Struthio camelus: one gene and its partner. The protein of the gene in region 2 purifies or fractionates together with the protein of the main gene of each other region. This does not show direct contact. Links are inferred from orthologs where the notes say so. Each region holds a gene or a part of one and is shown on either strand. Other genes may lie near its edges.

Region 1 (7,134 bases), on a different chromosome or scaffold from region 2:
TAGGTTTTGCCATATTTTTTTTATTATTTTATTTCAAGATACAGTTCACAAACTTTAACGTGAAGAAATAGTGGAACAACTAGGAACAACTCAAAATTTTCTGTTGAACTTAACAAACATGTCGATATACTTAGAGATTATATGTAGTTGGTATGAATGATACAGAACATTTTCTAGCAGCAACTTACAGGTCATATTGGCCAAGTCCTCCGTGGTCCATGCTCTCACTTAATTGTCCCTGGGGAGGGGAGGGGTAAAAGGAAGATTAATTATAATGTAAGAAACAAAGCAGTGTTAAAAATAAACGTAGTGATGTGTTTTATAACTTTTTAGTTTTTATTATTATTAAATTAGTCCAAACATCAGAATAATGAATTATCACCAGAAGATAAGACATCTACAAAACTCTGCAGAAGAGGTGCGACATTTCCATGTATCTCAATGACATGGGGAACCACTGTTTTACCTGACTGCACTGTTACTCAACAGGTAACAACTTCATTCCCTTCCCCCCAGGGATCCCGAAAAATTTTAAGGTACTACAATTTTTTTTTTACATTTGCTTTCACATAAGAATTTTAAATTCCTGTTACAGTATTATGCAAATTAGAACTATAATCAAGTAATCAAGATTATGTAAATAGAGGAATCGGTATTCACGCAAACCAGAAACCAACAACTGATTGAGAAGGCTTTACTATTCCATACTGATGATTAGCTAATGTCAATAGTAGCAAAATAGCTAAGCTTTACTCTCATGATAAATGCCTCTACTGATCAATAATCATTCAGATAGATCAAGGCATGCAAACATTAATAAAGGAGCCTCCAGTACGTCAACCTAAGTACTAGACATCGTTAAAGAATGTAGTTCAATTGAAGATATACTTTCTTAAAAGAATTTTTGACTTGATTCCTACGAAATGCGATATAGTATCTCCCTCTTTAATTGTGACTCTACATGGCAAAAAAGTGCAAACCAAGCAGACAGCTGGAATGAAAACAAAGAGAATTTAGTGTGTAAGCTTCCTAATGCGTTACATTTTTATTTTTAAAAATATATACATAAAATAGAGACTGCCAAGTTTGTGAGAAACAGTCTGGACTCTAAGGACTGGATACAGATATAATGAATGACTTGTGCAATCCACAGAGAACTAGACGAAAAAAGCCATACAGAGATCTGCAAAAAGCAGACTAAGCTAAGGAGTACATTTTTGGATATTATGTAAATGAAAACACTAGCCAAAGAAAATGATGAACTTTCAATAGCTTCCAAACCAAGTAAACACTAAAGCTTACAGAGGCTGGTATATTTTGGTGGGTGAGCTGGAGGGGAATTTAACTTCTGGTTCGACCTACTAGCACCACCAGCAATTACAGAGTCCAAAAGTTCAAGTCAGTTTCCAAGTTGGAAAGTTGCTAGCTCATGTCCTCTTGATAACATTTATTAGAGAAATCAAGCTTATTGACATCTGTTTCACAATAAAATACACCAAAGCTGCCCTTGACTCTACCGTTAGATGACAAAAACCAAATTCAAAAATTCATCAGAGATGGAGAATAAATATCCATTACATTTCTAGATTTTTTTCCTTCTTGAAGTTACCCACTGGTTCTGGCAAAGCTTATGCATGCTATTCTTACCCCTGCTTTCGTTCTCAATACTAACGTAAGCAAAATTCACTTCAGATACTGGTCCGTTATTTGCAAGGACTTTTTCTCTTGTTGTTTAACAAAACCAAGAAATGAAATGGTATGCTGGCTAGAAACCCTTCAGTTTGTAGTTATTCTTTCATTTAGTACAAACAAAAACATAAAGGTTTTATTCACTGTAATAACTAGTGCAAACAACCATATCACTTACAAGTAAACTCTCCACCTAAATACTTGTTTTTACTTCTAGTTTTACTTCTAGTTGCTCTAGAATAGCCATGCCTGTGTAAAACTACAACTGCTCTGTCCTTGAGGCTACGAGGGTTACAGTTTTCAGGAGCTGCAAAGGCCCAGCTCTGGGCAGACTAGACTAGATAAGCCTGATTTTACACCTTGCTCACTTTGAATTTAATGATCTCAACCTCTCAGTCTGCAATGTCTTTCTGACCCTTGAAAGACATGCACAATGCCTGTAGACATAGATTTCTGCTAAACGTTTTTCCCAGAACACTTTTCTGATGCTTCCCCTTCTTTCCTGCTCTTATAGTCTCTGCTTTCTGGTTCTGTTTTAATTTTAGGTCCATTCTAATTTTTCCTTATCTGTTTTCCAAACACCTAATTCCTCTGCTGATTTTATTTTACTGACATTTCTCCAAACACTAGAAGCAAGCATGTAACATTGAATGTGGCTATCACAGGCAAACATTCATTTTTTGTGCCATCCGAGAACCGAGTCAGGTCGCCAATGAACGTTCATATTCATAGAAGTTGTGCTACAAATATTTTTTTTTTTTTTTAAAGTTCACAATAACTAATGAAATCTTTAAATCATTCCTCAGAGTTACACTTTAAGACTGAATTATTGGAACATGAGGGAGAATTAATTCACTTTTCTTGCAGTCCCCCTTAGAACCTGTTCTTGGCAACATTAACAGTGTGATGCAGGTGACTTTTTTTTAAGCTAGGTACTTTATTGATTACTGAGGTCACAGATAGTGTTTTCTCCTACAAGTCGAGAAACTATGTGCCTTCCATTGTCAAATAATATCTCCGCAGTTTATACGTACAGTGTACATACTCCAACTGTGATACAGAGCACTGGGTTATCTCAGAGATTCTAAGTACGTCATTAAGATTTACACAGCATAAAATGAATGCAATAACACTTTAAGCAATACCAAAACTTTAACATACAGAATGATATAAAAAGCCACAGTAGCACTAGAAAAATAGAAACAGAAATGCTGTAATAAAATTCCCCCAAAGCCTTAACAGAATCTGTATGAAACACTAAAACGACGAAGTACGAGTTACAAGGTGAACTGTGCAAGAAAAGCGTTGAGATGGGGAGGCGCGCTGATCTGCATAGGCGTCTAGCACAGCACTTGAACGCTCCGCATTTAATTTTGGCGCTAGAGCAAGGGCTTTCTACAGTTCCAGAACGATCAGCATTTCTGCACTGCCGTTAAAACGTGACGAGAAAAAAAAGAAGAAAAAGCAAAAAAAAAAAAAAAACCACAAGACCCTTACTGCGACACCGTTGTGCTAGAAAATCCAAAAACAAACTTTTGTGGGTAGGGGGTGTGGGGGGGAATAAAGCTCCTGCGAGTTTGGCGCGGCCCCCACCGGCGGGGAGCCCCGGCCGGGAGCCGCCTGCAGCCCGGTGCCTGGCTGCGGCCGGCACCTGCCGCTCCCGCCGCCTGGGAGCCGCGGCGAAGCCGGGCCGGCGCGGAGCCTCCCACCGGCGGCGCTGACAGGGCGGCGCGGCGCGGCCGGGACAGGGCGCGGTCTCCTCACCTGCGCGGGCCGCGGCGGCGGCCGGCGTCGCGCTCCCTCCCTCCCACCCGCCCGCCCGGCCCCCGGGAGCGGCCTCGGGCGGCCGCCGCGCCCGCTGCCCTCAGGCCTGCCCCGGCGCCGCGCCCCGCGGCGGCCTCCTCCCGCTCCCGCCGCGGCGCGGGTTCCCCCCTCTCACCCCCTCCTCCAGCTCCTCGTCCGAAGCCGCGTCCTCGGGCTGGTCCAGGTCGATGTCGAAGACGCCCGCCATGGCGCGGGTGTGAGCAGCGGCGCCGCCGCCCCTTCCTCGCTGTGCTGAGTGCGCGGGGCCTGGGCCGCCTCATGGGCCCGCACCCCCCAACTCTACCACGGCCGCCATCACCGGCTGCCAGGCCTCAGCGCGCCTGCGCCCCCGCCCCGACTCCCGGCGCCGCGCAGGCGCACTGCGTCACCCGGCATTGGTGAGGGGCCGCATTGAGCATGCTCAGTGGGCACCCCGCTGGGTGACAGCCCTCGGGGCCGGAGCGGAGCATGCGCAGCACGCGCTCCAACTCCCTTGAGCCTGGCACGGAGCGTGCGCAGAGGGCAAGAGGCGGCCTTTCGCTGCGAGCATGCGTACTGCGCTCCGTGAAGCCCGCCCGTCTGACCCTCGCCCCGACCTGCCCGAAGTTCCCTCTGAGCATGCGCGAAGCGGGTTGTTCGAAGGCGCGTGTCGGGCCGAAGCGGAGGGCTCGTGCAGGAAGGGGCTCGCGCATGCGCTGTCGGGCGCCCCCCCCCGAGCGCCTCAGCGGGGGGTGTCGAGGTCAGCCCTGAGGGGAGCTAGGGGCCGAGCGGGGCCGAGGGCGGCCGGCCCTGTCCGGGCCGGGGGGACCAGCACCCTGGGGAGGGCCGCTGTGCCCGCGGGCAGGCGCGGGCGGGCGGGGGTCGTCGAGGATGAAGCGGCTTTGGAAGGGGAGAGGTGGCGGCGCGAGGTGGGCAGCAGCGGCGACATGGCGGCCCCGGCCTGTGGCGTGAGGCGGCGGGCGGGCGCCCCCCGGGGCGCGGTGCCGACGCTGGGCGCGGGCGGCCGGGGAGCCGGGGCTGCCCTCCGGCCGCACCTGGAGCATTTTCGGAAGCTCGTGTACAGCTTTATTTATTTCCTGCCGCGAGGAGTAACTCTGATACGCGGCCTGGCTTTAAAGGGGGGAGGTGCGGACTAGCAGAAACGCTGAAATCCAGCATAGGAAGCAAAAACAAAAGCAAAAACAAAACCAAAAAACACATACCTGCCTACAAAGTGCGGCAGGATCGAATTACAGGAGCTGGTGGTTATCCCAAGAACGCCGTTACAGATGTGCTGTGGCACAGCTGGGACGATAATGACAAATAGCAGCCCAGAATAATGAAGTGAGTTCAAATATTGACCTTGTCTTTGTGGAAAAAGAAAAAAGTGAGAAACCAGAGTTACAGCAAAAAACTGAGTGGAAAAATGGCCAAGCATGCCAGTATCACTCTGGTTGGAGGAAGGAGTATGCTCTAGGGGACTCTTTTGTCACTTCAGCTGGTTTTGGCATCAGCTGGTTTGGCTTCAGCTGGTTTTGTCACTTCAGCTGGTTTTGGCATCAGGCCCCCAGCAGTAGGACTGGAAATCAGCTGGCTTTGCAAATGGGCTGCACATTTCTAAAGGCATCTAGTACTTTCTTAGTATAGTTATTATGTTCTTATAGCCTCATCCTCGGGCTTTGCTGGATTTCTAATGATTATTTTTTACTCTGCCTTACTAAGCGAAAGTGAGAAAATAGAGACTTAACTTTGTTTGCTGTATGGTTGATTTCAGTTCTGTTAAGATATATAGCAACAGTAAACAGACTGGCTTCCTCTAAATGGTCACCGAGATTCTTCTGACATTCAGGATGAAGTCTTACAGACAGCATTTCCCCAGGAACAAGCAGTTGTTGTAGCATAGCCTTTTCCTCCTCACTAGAGTTGGCAAAAGTTACAAAACTGATCTGAATTTTTTTTTTCCCAGAATAACTAAAAGGCATGCTTTTCCTTTTTAGGGTTAAATACAAAGTGAATAAGAATGTCAGTAGTCACAGTCCAGCTTGGTCAGTGTGGTAATCAAATTGGGCACGAGGTGTTTAATGCTATCTGCAGTGACGTCCATGGCACGCATGGATTGTGTTCCAAGAAGGAGAATGAATCATACCATGACGCTTGCAAAGAACGCTTTTTCAGTGAGGAGAAAGCTGGAGGTACAGCGTTTAAAGACTTTTGTTTCCCACAGAGGGTCTTGTTTCTAGCCTAGCATAGTTAAGAATACAGAAATAACATACACTTTTACTTTGGTTGAAGAATTTTGCCTTCATTCTTAAAGACTTGTCACAACCATCTGTCCTCATGAGGCCACTTACAAAGGCAAAACCACAGTGCAGTAAAGCACCTGAGGCCACAGAGCAAGTATGCCAATAACAGAGCTGGAAACTGAGCTACCTATACGTAAATCTTTCCTTCCAACCTCTCCTTTTTTCCAATTTATGTAGATAATAACATGGAGCATGGTCATATCAAATCCCAGTTCTGTGTTATGAAAGGGATAGTTTTTTTCATGAAAGGTCTCTGGAGTTCAGATCTCTTTGGAACAATAGGTGGTGCTCTAGAAACTTGGAATGTTGCCAAGTTCTGCTTTCCATACTTTTCTGTACTGTCCCATTGAAGTTGACAGTTCAGTTTATATGGGTGGGAGGAATACAGTTTGGGCCTTGGTACAAGCCTGTCTGTCTGTTTGTCTTATGTAAACAAATTCTAAGACTGGCATATTATTCTTAGTTTTATTTTTCTTCCTCTCCAGTACCTGTTGCCCGGGCTGTGCTTGTTGACATGGAACCCAAAGTAATCAGCCAAACCTTATCCATAGCTGCCAGGTCTGGCTACTGGAAATATGATGATCGATCACACTTCTGTCAGAAACAAGGGTCCGGGAACAACTGGGCAAATGGGTATGAACAATCATTTCAAGCTTTGCTAACATAACTGTGGAGGGTGATGAGCAGACTAGACGCTGTAGGAATGGTATTATTGCAGCTGTGCAAGTACAGAGTCTGTAACATTAGCTTGTTTTATTTTTACGACAGAGTAACAATATGTGTAATAGCAAAATTTCTGACTGCTTTTTGCAACGTGAAATTGGCATTCACAGTGAAGAATATTTTAAAACTGAGTGATGAATATTATTAAAAAAGAGAAAACAACAAGCACATTTTACAAACAGCTGTTTTTTTTACAACACAAATGTCACAGCTGAGGATTGTTTCTGACAGGTAGAATTGGTGACACAATAGTAGGTTATATAACTAATAAAAAGAAAAGCGTGCTTTATGAATAGGTTGATGTTATTGCTTTTATTTTAATAGAATCTGCCATGTCTTGCTGCCTTCTCTGTTATTCAACAGTTACTCTGTTCACGGGCCTAAACACAAAGATGTAATCATGAATCTGGTACAAAAAGAAGCAGAGAAATGTGACCGTCTCAGTGGATTTTTCACAATAATGAGCATGGCTGGTGGTACCGGATCCGGCCTGGGAGCATTTGTGACCCAGTGTTTAAGGGATGCTTTTCCAGCCTCGTTTATACTAAACCATGTTATCTGGCCATATGGAACTGGTGAGGTGAATGTCATATGTACCTTACATATTCTACAAAACTTTAATCATGATTACAAAAGA
Region 2 (7,958 bases):
CTAGCTCTCCCTCCCATCCCCGTTAGACTGTGTCCACATAATACTGCATCGCTCTAAATTGACAGCACAAACTACTGCTGGCATCGTATGCATCACAAAAATGTTTCTCGGGGAAGTGCTGGCCTGATTCTCTGCTCTGGGCCATCACCTCCCTCCCAGAAAGTCACTACAAAGGTTGTTCGATGCCACCGTCCAGGTCCCGCTGCGGGCGCTGACATTTGCCATTTGGCCAGACACCAGCGGCAGCGTGAAGATCTGCCCGCTGCTGGATCCGGCGAGGCTGGCGGCAGGATTTTTGGGAGCGCATGGGGCTCTTTCCTCAAAACCGGTCCCTGGGGCGAGCTCCTGGGATCCACCGAGAAGTCCGCGATGCTCCGTGGCCTCCCGCTGCTACCAGAAGGTCCAGGGGGGCTGCATCATTTCATACGTCGGGATGCTGGTGACGTTGACGGGGATGGAGATGACAGCCCATGGGAGCCCATGCTGTTCCAGGGAGCGCCGGATCATGTACCTGGAAGGACAGAGAGGTGACAGGCGCATGTGAGCCCCTGAGCTGGGAGAGCAGAGCCTGAACGTTATGGGTTAACGCAAGCTGCCAATAAACTCGAGGAGAAACTCCGTGGATTAAGCATGACTGAATCCATGGAAAATCTGGCTCACAAAGCCCAGACAGGACACACGGCTCACTGGGACCCCTCTGGTTCATGGGGACAAGGCTGTCACTTGGCCCTTCCCACGAGATGCTCTACACTTGGGAAGATCAGAGCATTGGGTGACCAGAACTGGATCTCAAAAGGCAAGGCTGTCTCTTGGAAAGGCTGATGTACACCAGGAAAACGCTGCACAGCGTCCGGGGTGGCACGGAGACCTGCCGGTCGCAGGTAGGCCATCCAAACCAGATCTGCTCTCAGAACCAGCCTCATGCCAGCCCAGATGCCTCCAGCCTCCTAAGAGAGCTGTGGCACGCACGGAGCTAACGCAGCTACCTGGACACCGCAGCAGGTTCGCGGCCGGCCGGCTAAAACCCGCTGAACCCACGTGCGCCTACCTCCGCAGCGCCGTGCCCGAAGACACGTCCCTCGGCCACGATACCCACCCGTCCCTGCCCAGCAGGAAGAGCGCGGGGATGTCCGCTGTGCGCCTGGTGCTGTCCTGGATCATTTCGATATAGAAGCTGTCGTTATCGTAGGCGTTATCGGCGATAATCACCGCCCGTCCTCCGTGCTCCTGGATCACGCGCGTCTTCGACAGGAACGAGCAGCCCCTGGGGCACAGAGCCACAAACGTTGTCTACAGACGTGGGAGCCGGGCACCTCTCAGACAGCAAGTGCCGGAGCTTGCCCGGAGACGCCCAAGACGCGGGCTGGCTCCCCGGCACCGCGCGTCCCCCAAGCCCTTTTCATCCTTGAGACCGGATTTTAGCAACAGGACTGCCCAAACTGTGCTGGTGGGCTGCTTTCTCCCCCAAAATAAGGCTTTTTCCAGCTTGGCGTAGGCTCTTTTCCAAAAGACTGTCGGGACAGCTTTGCAACCCGGGGAAGCAGCTGGAGGCGACGGTAAAACGTGGCTGCTAACACAACCGTGGCACCGTCACCCTCCGTGCCGCAGGCAGCCCCCTCCTGCCCTGGGTGCCCCCCACCCAAAGAGGTCCCGCGGCGCCGGACCTACCCCCGCTCCACCAAGGCGATCTGGTCTTGGATGAAGACCCCATTATTCAGCTCCCCACAGGCTTCGGGCGGATCCGCCGGGACCAGGTGGATCTGGTCGTACCTTGTGTTCTCCGAGGAAGAGACAGGCAGGGGTGAGCGAGGAGGCCGGCGGCACGGCGCCGGGGCTGCTTCCCATCGCGAGCCCCGCGGCGCCTGTCCTCGGGGCCCCCGGGGAGCTGCTGTTCCCGTCCCCGCGCGGGATGTGCCGTGGGACCCCGCAGAGCCACCCGAGGGGAACCCGCAGACCTCGCTCAATAGCTCGCCCCCATCACCGTGGGGAGGGGAAACTGCGGCACGGCACCATCCGGTGAGTTGTGCGAGGCAGGGAACGGCGATAGAGGCTCTCGATGCCCAGCCCCGGGCTTTGCCCCGGATTGGGGCAGCCCCTTGGCAGGAGACGGGGAGCCCTTAGGGCTCCGGGAGCGCACGCGTGTGCGGACACGCATCCGTACGTACGAACGCTCCCAGGGAACGCGTGCGGAGGCAGAAACGCGTTCGCATGGCCCAGATCGAACGGGAGCACCTCTAACGGCAGAGACGGGCGCGTGCCTCCTGCCTAGGGCAAAGCTCTCGGAGGAAGCCCGTGCAATCAGCTCCACTTCGGTAAAGGGCTTCACATCAGCCAGCCCCGCAGCGCAGAAATGTAGGGACGGGGGGGCTCCGAGACAAATCCGGTCCTTATACTTACAAACACTCCCCCAAAATCCTTGGCCGGAGTGGCAGTGAAGATGTAGCGGATGTCTCCGGGACTCAGCACTTGGAAATACAAGTATTCATGGATGCGTAAACCTGCGCGTGCACGGAGAGAGATGAGAGGCAAAGAAACGGCAACGGCAAACTCCTCCCGTGAGATTTCAAGCCGAACGCGCAGTCACAGCCTTGAGATGTGGTTCATCCCGGGGACCCTCTTTTTTTAACCCATTTTCACACCGGTTTGCAGGCCCGGAGATGCAGCGCCGGGGAAGGACCCTTGGCACCAGGGCTGCAGCTGCTGCACAACCAGCGCTTGCGAACTGCAGAAGGCCCTGAGTGCCGCGGGGAACCGAAATTGTTTCGGGAGTTCCCGGCACGCTTTCATCCAGGCACCCGGCTCAACGCCCACTGCTGCGGGTCGAGCGCGACACGAGACCTCCCTCTGCAGCCTTGCGTAACGCCGGCTGCGTGCCGGGCTCCACGGCGGGAGGAGGACCCGAACCACTGCTGTCGGAGCTGGGTGCGTCGTGCCGGGGCCTTTTCCCATCTTAAACCACTGCTTGGTCCCGACACCCAGCGCCCTGGGCCTCTCTCACGTGGGGTTTCCCCCTTCTGTAAACCGCCGGCAATTCAGACAGCTCCCTGCCTCAATTTCCCTCTATAAGGAAAGAAGATTTTATGTGATAAAAAAATGCAAAGCCTCGCCGCGCAGGCGGATAGCTCGGCCGATGGCCCACGACCTCCTGCGCTGTTTGGGCAGCCGATGCACAAGAAATGAGACATTCGGGCAGGATGCAAAGTCGGGGCCAGGCAGCGAATGCTTTAGGGCCAGCAGCCCCTCGGGGCCGTGCGAACACCTGCAAAGGGCGCTGGGGCGTTGCTGGCGGAGGGCAGAGCGAGGGGACTCTGCTGCCTCCCCGCAGCCTCTTACCCCGGAGCCAGCTGCCTTCCTGCCTCCAGCGGCTCTGTCCTGAGCATGCAAGGAAAAGCATCCGGGTTGGGGTGCCCCAAGGGAAAATATACCGGATCGAGGTGCTGGGAGGAGAAACGGAGTGCACAGAGGAGACGGGGGAAATGCATGCAGACTGGGGTGCACAAAAAGGGGAAATGAACCCGGATCTCCTAGGGGACAGGAGTGAAGTGCATTTGATCACGGCGCTGGGTAGGTGAAATGCACCCGGACCCAAGTGCCTCAAGGGCAAATGCACCCAGTGTGGGATGTCCCAAGGATAAATGCACCTGGATCGGGGTGCACGGAGGGGAAAGGGAGAAAATGCACTCGGATCATGGAGGGGCTAGGGGTGAAATGCACCTGGACTGGGGAGAACAGAGGGGAAATGCACCCGGATCGAGGTGTCAGGAGGAGAAATGCACCTGAACCTGGGTGCATGGAGGGGAAATGCACCCAGACTGGGATGCATGGAATGGAAATGCATCCAAATTAGGATGCCTCAAGGGAAGATGGACCTGGATCGAGTTGTCAGGAGGGGAAAATGCATCCGGACTTGGATGCATGGAGGGGAAATGCCCCCGGAAGGAGGTGCCAGGAGGAGAAATGCACGGAGACAGGGACGCACAGTGGGGAAATGCATCCAGTTCAGGATGCCCAAGGGGAAATGCACCCGGATCGAAGTGCATCAAGAAGAAATGCACCCGGATCGAAGTGCATCAAGAGGAAATGCACCCGGATCGAGATGCATGGAGGGGAAATGCACCTAGATTGGGGTGTTCCAGGGGGAAATGCACCCAGATCGAAGGTGCTGGGAAGGGAAATGCACCCAGACCGGGATGCACGGAGGGAAAATGCACCCAGATTGGGATGCACAAGGGGAAAGGCACCCAGACCGGGATGCACGGAGAGGAAATGCACCCAGATTGGGATGCACAAGGGGAAAGGCACCCAGACCGGGATGCACGGAGGGGAAATGCACCCAGATTGGGATGCACAAGGGGAAATGCACCCAGACCGGGATGCACGGAGAGGAAATGCACCCAGATTGGGATGCACAAGGGGAAATGCACCCAGACCGGGATGCACGGAGAGGAAATGCACCCAGATTGGGATGCACAAGGGGAAAGGCACCCAGACCGGGATGCACGGAGGGGAAAGGCACCCGGATAAGGGTGCCCGAGAGGGAAATGCACCCGGGCGCAGGGCAGGCGGACGGGCGGCGCGGGGGGAAGCGACCGCGGGCCGGACTCACCGCGGGCCGGGCAGGAGCAGAGGCAGAGGCAGAGCCAGAGCGAGCGGCGGAGCATGGCTGCGCCCCGCGCCGCGCCGCGCCGCTCCCCCGCCCCCGCCTCCGCGCCGCGCCCATTGGCGGCGCCCCCCCGCGCCGCGCGCGCCCATTGGCCAACGCCGCCGTCAATCCCGCCCCTGCCATCTAGTGAGCTGCGGGCCGCCGCGCCGCCGCACGTTGCTGCCTCTCTATGGTTTCTCGCGAAGGAAGGGAGCCTCGCTCGGGCGGCTCTGTCTACGGCCTCACCATGGAGTGCGGCCGGAAGCGGTTACCTAGCAACGCTCTCTTCCCCTCCCGCCCTCGGGAAGCTTCTGGGCGGGCGCGGGGCATTGTGGGAGCAGGGCCTGGCTGCGCCGGGGGAGAGCCGCCGAGATGATGGTGAGTGGCGCCCGCCTCATCCGCCGCCATCCTCTGCCTGGCAGCGGCCTCCTCCGCCCCCGGGGGCCGTTGCTGGCGGGGGTTAGTAACGGGGCCGGCGCGGGTTCAGCCCCCGGTGAGGGCGGCCCCGCCGCTGTCTTGTGAGGGGACCAGCCGGGCCCGTGAGTGGCCCGCGGTTGCCGCCGGGCTGCCGCGGGACTACCGCTCCCATCAGGCTTTGCGCGGCGAGCGCCGCGGCTGAAAGGGAGCGGGGCGCGCGGGGCAGGCCGGGAGCTGTAGTCTGTCGGCGCGTGTACAAGGGTGGTGTCCCGGCCCTGGGGCCCGGAGCCGAGCCCACCGGGCTGGGGTCGGGGCTCAGAGCGGCCCATGCTGGGAGTTGTAGGCCGGAGCGGGCGGTACGTGGCGCCCCGGGGCCTCAAGTCGGGGCCTGAGCTCGGCAGCCCGCTTCGGGGCGTGGAGGGACCCGGTGCTGCCCCGGTCCGTGCTGAGTCCTGCCTGTGCCCTGCCGGTGCTGCTCCACGAGGGTTGCGTGTCTGCCTCTAACCTGATTTTCCCTAGGATGCAATCGACTCTGTTCCCTTTAGATTTCTGTTCGGGAGCTTGCCAAGGCTTAGGTAGCTCTGGCTGCGGTGCTCGCGCCCGTCTTCCGCTCGCCCGTCAGGCCCTCGGCTCCGGTCTTGTTGCTCTTTAGCACAACGGTCATCGTACGGTTTTGCTCTCTGCTGCAGATGGCTCTTTAAAACTGAGCGCCGAAGAAGCTTCTGGTTCGTGTGGATTTTGAGCTTTGTCTTTAAGGCACGTTTAGTCCGTTTCCTAGAAATCCTGAAAAGGGCTGCTGCGCTCTTGGAGCACAGCAAAGAGCTGTTTGCCGTGGCCTTTGAAATCTTGTAGGCTTTGCTTGTATTTCTAAGCTGTGTCCAGTTCAGTTTACTGTCAGGCAGGTGCAGTCACTTGTGTTCATCCCCCCTGTTTCCTCTGCGAGCAGGGAGGTGCGTTGCAGCAGTTGCCATCCTTGGGGTAGCTTGGACTGTGATCTGAGAGCTCTTGCGCCTGTTGTGCTGTACATCTTAGGAGACTTAAGTAACTCATCTGGGTTGTAGCTTGTGCAGTTCCCTGCTGCCTCAGTAATTATTACACATACTGTCTCTTATGGTGTAGAGATCAAGCGTAGCACAGAAATTAGACCTTCTCTGAGCTATATGATGGGGAAAGAAGCCCGCTTGTTTTGTGGACAGTTACAATACAGTCCAAGGGCATACAAACAGAAGCAGTTGGGTAGATTCCAGTTACTTTATAGAAGCAAGTGACACCTTGCCTTGGAGCGGTTTGACTGCATCCGTAATGCTTTCTAGGTAAAGTTGAACCTTCAGCCTTTCATGGAAAAGTGCTCTAGTACATTTCTTTGAAGCTACAGGAGTTCAGTCAAGATAAAACTTCAAACAAACACGGAATGCTTGAGAACGTGGAAGTAAACTTTTAGAGGAATTGCTTTGTGTAACAGTGGCAGTTTGTGGCCTTCTCTCTCTCAGGTTTTTTTGTAGTCACAGTCTTACTTTGAAGCTCTAGGCGGGTCAATAAGCTCAGTAAAGCAAGATGCTTAGGGATTGGGATTTTTTTTGTTTTATTTTTGCCACCAGGCCTTTGAGGGAACTGCAGTTTTTGGTCTTGGGAGTGAGAGAGCTGTTGTGCAGCTAGTTTCTTGCATAGGGGAAAAATACCTTTTTGAGCAGCGATAACTTGCTGGGCTGCCTGCAGAGTTAGCACTGGGCTGTCTGAGATTGGAGTTACAGCTCTGCTGTGGTTTGTCTCTTCAGCCAACACCCGTTATCCTGCTGAAGGAGGGCACGGACACCTCACAGGGGATCCCCCAGCTCGTCAGTAACATCAATGCCTGCCAGGTTATCGCAGAAGCTGTGCGCACTACCCTAGGACCCAGGGGCATGGACAAGCTCATTGTGGATGACAGAGGTAAGCGCTGGGTGACAGCTTTTCACGGCTATGTAGAAACGTGACTCGGAAATAATCTCCAAGTGTAACGCACACTGCTGGCACGTGTTTTTTTGCAGCCAGGGGCTAGAGCATGCAGAATGCAAACAAACGGACTTGGATGTTGTACTGTTCATGGGAATTCTGCAGTGAAATTTGATTCATACCTTCATATTAATTAAAACAGTATTTGCATATATACAGACTTCAGCTTCGTTGCCGCTTGCTATTCTCAACTCTCATAATACAGAGGTTCAGTTTCTGCATCAATGTTCAGTTTGAAACCTAGATCCCAGCCGCAGCTGGTGAAGAAAAATAATTGACAGATTTACTTGAGGAAACTACCTGGTAGTTACCTACTAGACTGAGTTAAGGTAGCTGAATTCTTTCTTGTGGTACTAGATAGATCTAGGGTTAGCATGACTAGACGGGCAGAAGTCCATGCCAGAAAGGAGGAATGGTGTGTTTTGAAGCTAGTCTTTGGGTACCCCTGACCCTCTCTTTCTAGGTTTGTTTTAAGATGAGGCTCGTGACACATGTAGAGTTACTCAGCTCTTGGTATGACTGAGTGTGGGGTGGATGGGGGTTACTAGGGTTGATGTTTGGGTGAATTGGGGATGGCTCCCAGCCCCCTCTGAGAAGAATTGTGTTAAGTTGCCACGCTAATCTATTCCTTGCACTTTTTTTTATTCTTGTGTGAATTGTCCTTGTATTACAGGTCCTATCTGTAAAAGCAGTTATTTGTTTTAAAAAGGATCACTGAAGTTTTATTTTAGCTTAATAACTAATTCTGTTGATTTCTAGCACTTTTCAGTCATGTGTCAGACTAGAATATCTGAGAGAGATGTGTATATATATACATATAATTTTTAATCTGCATGGGGAGGCTATTGAGAAATGAGAGGGGATGAATGTAAAGCTCCTGTTAACTGATATGAGTAGTTCTGTACTT

Evidence for each region.
Region 1: the proteins of CCT7 (region 2) and TUBD1 purify together in Homo sapiens (co-immunoprecipitation; 3 studies listed by BioGRID and IntAct, counting the BioPlex papers as one, with this or other methods). This does not show direct contact. The link is inferred for Struthio camelus from reciprocal best matches to the Homo sapiens genes CCT7 and TUBD1.

What each region holds. Positions count from the first base shown.
Region 1 is NC_090957.1:18,708,606-18,715,739, reverse strand, and holds the start of TUBD1 (tubulin delta chain), read left to right. Parts: upstream 1-4,106; 5' UTR 4,107-4,110; coding exon of another isoform or gene 4,111-4,231; intron 4,232-4,621; exon of another isoform or gene 4,622-4,815; intron 4,816-5,468; 5' UTR 5,469-5,491; coding exon 5,492-5,663; intron 5,664-6,259; coding exon 6,260-6,407; intron 6,408-6,821; coding exon of another isoform or gene 6,822-6,860; coding exon 6,861-7,077; intron 7,078-7,134. Other genes in the region: RPS6KB1 (ribosomal protein S6 kinase beta-1), read right to left, coding at 189-238, 3,629-3,700. UniProt on the Homo sapiens protein: Acts as a positive regulator of hedgehog signaling and regulates ciliary function.
Region 2 is NC_090945.1:85,476,927-85,484,884, reverse strand, and holds the start of CCT7 (T-complex protein 1 subunit eta), read left to right. Parts: upstream 1-4,896; 5' UTR 4,897-5,014; coding exon 5,015-5,020; intron 5,021-6,834; coding exon 6,835-6,988; intron 6,989-7,958. Other genes in the region: PRADC1 (protease-associated domain-containing protein 1), read right to left, coding at 391-511, 1,097-1,264, 1,669-1,778, 2,398-2,498, 4,607-4,661. UniProt on the Homo sapiens protein: Component of the chaperonin-containing T-complex (TRiC), a molecular chaperone complex that assists the folding of actin, tubulin and other proteins upon ATP hydrolysis.